Saccharomyces cerevisiae S288C: one gene and its partner. The protein of the gene in region 1 interacts with the protein of each later gene in a biochemical or structural test. Each region holds a gene or a part of one and is shown on either strand. Other genes may lie near its edges.

Region 1 (2,963 bases):
TGAATTAGCTTCAAATCTCTCATTGTTCGTTCCCAATTTGATTGCCATCTGTTCTCAGCTTCCTGCGTTACATTTTTCTTCAATTTTTGGTATAAATCAGCATCTTTCATAGCAAAAATCAGAGATTCATGAAGCTCCCTTCTATCAACAAATTTTAACCCATTTACATTGTGTTGTACTAATTCGTCAAGCACTGGATAGTTCATTGCAATAACAGGAAGACCTGAGCCAAACATATCTAAAATTTTCATTGGCAGGTCCAACCCTGAACTTGAAGTATGCAGGGAAACTCCGTAATCGCATAATTGTAATAACTTTGGGTAATCCTCTGCTGACAACCACACAAATTCGATTTGACAGCGCTTCCAGTCATATTCTTCTACTTGCTTCATATATTTCTCCTTTAGTGGTCCTTTACCCGTTATAAAACACAAGATCTTAGGCAAACTTGAATCAAATTTGACATAAGAGTTTTCGTAAATCTTTAGGGCACCTAATAAAATACCAATATCTTCATCAGGGGTGAATGATGTTGAAGTCACAATAATTTTATCGCCTTTTTCTGTATCAAAATCATCGCGAATATAATTCTTTATAAAGGCTTTGGTAGTTAGGGCTTTTTGACGAGAAATGTCACCTGCCAAAGGTTGAAATTGGGAAGCCGGGCGGTCGTAGAGAACAGCACATCTCTTTGGATTCAAGTGAAAGCTTTGAATTAAATATTTCCTCATTGCTTCAGTAACAGTCAAGTTATAATCAGCAAATTTGCTGAATATCATCTCTACCATGTAAGATATCAACACTAAAGGATGGTAAAAGTTTCCTTTAAATTTTAGTTGCAATATCGAATATGCTAGATTGTGCCAATCAATAATTAGTTTACAACCGGTCAACTTGTATAGCACAGCAATCGGAAGAATGGGTATGCTCGGTGGATTTTGAACTAGTATGTAATCGCTTCCTCTCAATTCCCAAAGTAATTTGAAAATACTTAAAACTTGAAAAAGCACCTTCTTTACCATAAATATAACTGATGTTCCGCCTCCCTTTCTTTTCAAGTTTGACATATGATGGACGGTGATATTTGGATCACTGGAAATAATTTTGGGTAGAGTGTCCTCCACATAACCGCATAGCTCGACTTGCCAACCTAACTTACTGAAACTTATAGCGTGATAGCATATCCTTGGAGAGTGTCCTACATCACCCAGCACAAATATGATGATCCTTTTTTTGGTCGACTTGTTGCCATAAAACAAGTAGGGTATAACATAATAAACCACTAACGGTATGGAAAGGTATAATATTATTAAGGCAAGTAACCACCGAGGAATTTCCAAAAACATTTTCACCAATTGACTATAGCCCCTAAAATGCCGTTACAATTACCCTCTAATGGCTTTGCTAATTGCTGATTGAAAGATATATGACCAATTAACTTGATGATTGCTATATGCGCGTTCTATTGAAGCAACGTGCAAGATGATCACTGCTTGGATTGACCTTGTTTTAGCAACAAGCCATACAAAGATATCAGACAGGAAAGTCACAGTCAAAGCATGCAAAAATCGACAAAGCAAACATAAGTAGAACCTGAGAACATCAACCATATGTCCTAATGAATTCAAGCACCCTCTTTTCCACCCAATTTGAGACATTTTCAAGATGTATTTATATTTTCGTGTACTGTGATATGACTTTATTCTTAGAATTTTTTATTGCCCGCGTAAGAAGGTGTTTAACAAGAGATCTTGTTAACTCACAAGGGTACTCTGACTGGATAGAAATCTTATTCTTGACCGGAAACTATCGAACTACAAAGAAAGAGCTTAGTTAATACAAATAAAAAAGTACAATGTCCTCCAATCTTACCGAAGAACAAATTGCTGAATTCAAAGAAGCCTTTGCCCTCTTTGATAAAGATAACAATGGCTCTATCTCATCAAGTGAATTGGCCACTGTGATGAGGTCATTGGGTCTTTCGCCCAGTGAAGCAGAAGTAAATGATTTGATGAACGAAATAGATGTTGATGGTAACCATCAAATCGAATTTAGTGAATTTTTGGCTCTGATGTCTCGTCAACTCAAATCAAATGACTCTGAACAAGAACTACTAGAAGCTTTTAAAGTATTCGATAAGAACGGTGATGGTTTAATCTCCGCCGCTGAGTTGAAACACGTGCTAACATCCATTGGTGAAAAATTGACTGATGCCGAAGTAGATGATATGCTAAGAGAGGTTAGTGATGGATCAGGCGAGATCAACATTCAACAATTCGCTGCTTTGTTATCTAAATAGGTGCATCCTTGTGATTTTTTGCTCCCGCTATCTTACCCTTACCATTCTGGTTTTATAGTATTCGTTGAGTATCGTTTCATCTAAAGTTTGACAACCACACGCAAATATATACTGTACGTAGACAGGGTTAATGTTATTTATGTAGATAAGTAATGTTCCTGAGAAGACAGTTTAAATAAAGGATACGGATTGTTTACCAAGGCGGATAACTAAATTTAGCCAGTATTAAGTTCAATGTTGCGTAGCTATTTCATTATTTTAATTTATGCAGTCTGTCATCTTCTTGAGGAACAACATTTCGTTTGTATCTTTCAAAAGGATTTAAGTTATCGTCAGCAGCAGAAATATCTCCCGAATAGGCCCTCTCCATTTCAATAGGTCTTGGTTCGAGCGATTTTAGTAATGGCTTTTTCTTTGGGACCACTGGTGGCTTTTTCTTCAGGTTATCATTCTTTTTTGGGACAACAGGCGGCACTTTCTTTGGACTAGACCTAGAAGGTGGAGGCCTTGGTGGAGTAATAGACCCCGATGCAGACACATATTTTTCATCTAGATCTGAGGGAACAGGGCTAGAGTCCTTCACTTTTTTCGAACCGCCTAACTTTTCCAAATTAACGTTTGTTTTTCTTAATTTGATATGCGACAACTCATTGGTAATGGAGTT
Region 2 (3,526 bases), on another chromosome or scaffold:
ACTTCAGTGACAAATTAGCAAAATCGTAGACATGGATCTGAGGTTTGTATGTACCGGTAGCCATGCAATATTGCCCATCTCTACTCACTTTAATCTTATTGGAGGCTTCGCTAAATTCAAAATCTTGAATCAGTTCTACTCTATTTTGATATTCTAAATCATTCTTTAATTGCCTTTTGCGCTTTTTCGCAATCCAGTCTGGAAGTGATCTTGAAACGTTTGTACCAGAAACCTGATATACTGAAACATCATTTGCGGAAGTAGATTTCAAAACCATAATGTCCCCTTTTTGAAGATATATGTTGATACCTGTAACTGATGTAATAAATGATGTGTTACTGATTACAGCCGATGAGATGAGATGAGCTTAGCTCAAAATTTTCAATTTTTTTTTTTCTTAATTTTTTTTAAGATCATATTTGGTTACCCGACCATGAAGTGACATTTGAAGAATTGATTTATATTTTTAATATTGCAAGATGTGCGAAAACTCACCATTACAGAGATAACTAAAAGTCTTATCTCATCACTATCGGATCTTTCCACTTAGTATTTTCTACGGTTAATTTAAAAATCAATAATAAAACAAAATCATCAGCGAAAATTGTGTATATAGCGTGTATAAAAAATATATAAATCTTTAAAAGCATACCTCATTAAAAGCCTAAGCAGCAAAGTGTTTCAAAATTTGCTCAGCAGCATGAACACCACTCAAAGCCATAGCTCCAAAAGTTGGACCCATACGGTTTAATCCATCCAGTTCAGCAACTTCCATACCAGCAAAGTACATGTTGTCAACACCGGCGTATGCACCAGAGTGAATAACGACATCGTGTTCGGCATGGTTCATGTCCAGACCCTTCATACCGCCCAATTTTTGGTTTTGATCAATGTCGACGATTCTCTTGGCGCAGAAAGCACCAAATGGACCATCATGACCGGTAGTGGATAAAATGACACCATGCTTTTGACTCAAGTCACGAGTTCCGTCATTTTTGTAACCTGCCAATTCAATTACGTTAGGGTCCATGCAACATTGAGTACCGTGAGCTTGGGTAACTAACGTCCAGTTGGTGACAACACCAGCAACGGTGACTTCGCCCTTTTCGGTAGGTGGTCTGGTAACCAAATCTTCAACACAGGTAGCATTGAACAGTTTAACATTTGGTAATTGCAAGACCTTTGAAAGGACAGTAGAGATGAACAAAGCGGCATGCTTAACGACAACATAGTCACCTTCGTCTTCGTAAGGGATTTCCAACTCTTGTAAGAACAAATGAGCTGGTTTTCTCATAACCATGGCACTAAATAATTGACCACCCAACCAACTACCACCACCTGGTGCAACTGAACTTTCGATAATACAAACCTTCAAGTCTGGTCTGTTCTTGGCGATGACGTAAGCGGCGGATAAACCTGAAGAGCCCGCACCGACAATAATCACGTCAGAAACGGCAAACTTGTCAAGATCCTTGAAATAACGAGAAGTCATAGCACGAGAGACAGTGGATTCGCGGATGGGAGCAAATTTAAAGTCAGACCAATCTTCTTTCTTAACGATGTCAGATAAGCAGTGAGTAACTGGAGTAGAGTTTAAGTGCAATTGAGAGGCACTTGTGGAAGTAGCAGTAGAGGTAGCAGACATTTTGATAGTTAGTTGATTTTTTTGGTTGTGATTTATTATTTCTAGATGATAAGAAAGAGAACATAAAAGATATTTCCCGACTACTTAATACACAATTTATTCCAATATTTATATATCTGGGTAGTTCATAAATTGAAAATCAAAAAATCAATTTCATGATCCATTTCTATTAGTGCTCGTAAAAAAATTTACGATTGAACTTGGTAACTGATAGAATACCAGATTCTTTACTATCAATTATGTATGTTTTTTAACGTGCATAATTATTAAAAGACCATTTGATTTTAAAAATGACGTTAGGAGATCGGACATTTTATGAAAACTTCAGAAAAAGGGCTTAAAGTAGAGTATCGTTTTGGACGTCTACAGGAAAATGGGGTGGTAAATGTTCTTGGCGTAAAAAAAAACTATTCACTAAAGCAATTGAGTGCCGATCCCTGTTGAGGAATGCTCATAAAGAGAAAGTATCAGAATTATTCCCCGCCGTAAATTTGTAAAAAAAGGGTAAAAAACGGTTAATCCTGAAGGGGCTTGGAAAGCTCGCCAGCTTCTTGTAATTCTTGACGCCACATATAGCAATCACTAACGAAGAAGTTGACTTTTTAGGGGGTTGATAAGCATTTTTCCCACCCATTTGCATCAGTTAATGTCAATTCAGTCATGATTTGCAAGATATTAGGAGAAAAAGTATGAAAATTAAAAAAGTAATCTTGAGCGGTACGAGAATCGAACCCGTGTCCCCACCTTGGAAGGGTGGGATGATAACCACTACACTAACCGCCCGGGGTTAACTTGAAAGCTCTAAAAGCTCGTTTTCCATATATAGGCATGTTACAATTCCTTTCCATTCTTTCCATTTTATCCATTATCTGATGCATTTCCCTGATAGAATAAGAACAAACTACCATCCATCGATTAGTATTCATGTCACTAGTATATTAATTATCATTTATGATGTAAAAAGAGGACATAAAAGTTATAGAACAGTCATTAGGTTTAATAAAAGCTTAAATAAGAGGATCGATGAAATAGTAGGATAGTGAAACATATAAAATGGAAAAGAAATAATAATACTATTAGGTAGATATATTGATTCCCTTTGGATTCCTGTATCTTGCAGAAGAACTTTCAACATTTTTTCTATACGCAATATCGTAGCCTGTAACAATAATTGTTGGGATTCCATTATTGATAAAGCAATAATGTTAGGTATGTAGGATATACTAGAATTTCTACTCGAGGGTATAGGAATCCTCAAAATAGAATCGAAATTTCTACATAATAATTGAAGAGAGTGTGGGTTCTGATGTAATTGTTGGGATTCCATTGTGATTAAGGCTATAATATTAGGTATGTAGATATACTAGAAGTTCTCCTCAAGGATTTAGGAATCCATAAAAGGGAATCTGTAATTCTACACAATTCTATAAATATTATTATCATCGTTTTATATGTTAATATTCATTGATCCTATTACATCAATGCTTGCATTTCAGCTTCCTCTAACTTCGATGGCAACTTTTCATACCTTATGTCACCATCTAACGCCTTATATGACAATATACTGACATTAGGAATACTAGTTGATATAAGATAGTGGATTTTTATTCCAACAAATTTTCAGCTCCTTTTTTTCCTAGGTTATAAATAAAAACAGTTAATGAGAAATGAAAATTCTTGTCTTTACTCAAGCAGGAATTACGAAGCCTATCAGTCGCATAATTAATATTGCATATAATGTCTATATCCAACAGTGTTCTTGTAGGGTATAGGAATCCACAAAAAGGAATCAATAAGTTTTACCCTCTACACGTTGTCACCCCTTTCCTTTATCACACTATCAACCCTTGTGTTTGAGCTTCTAATAAATTCGTTCCGGTT

Evidence for each region. Proteins that work in one complex are often made in the same cells at the same time.
Region 2: the proteins of CMD1 (region 1) and THI4 form a complex in vitro, tested with the Saccharomyces cerevisiae proteins (one study listed by BioGRID).

What each region holds. Positions count from the first base shown.
Region 1 is NC_001134.8:457,255-460,217, reverse strand, and holds CMD1 (calmodulin), read left to right. Parts: upstream 1-1,855; coding exon 1,856-2,299; downstream 2,300-2,963. Other genes in the region: ALG1 (chitobiosyldiphosphodolichol beta-1,4 mannosyltransferase), read right to left, coding at 1-1,346; AIM3 (Aim3p), read right to left, coding at 2,553-2,963.
Region 2 is NC_001139.9:778,518-782,043, reverse strand, and holds THI4 (thiamine thiazole synthase), read right to left. Parts: upstream 1,646-3,526; coding exon 665-1,645; downstream 1-664. Other genes in the region: ribosome biosynthesis protein ENP2, read right to left, coding at 1-277.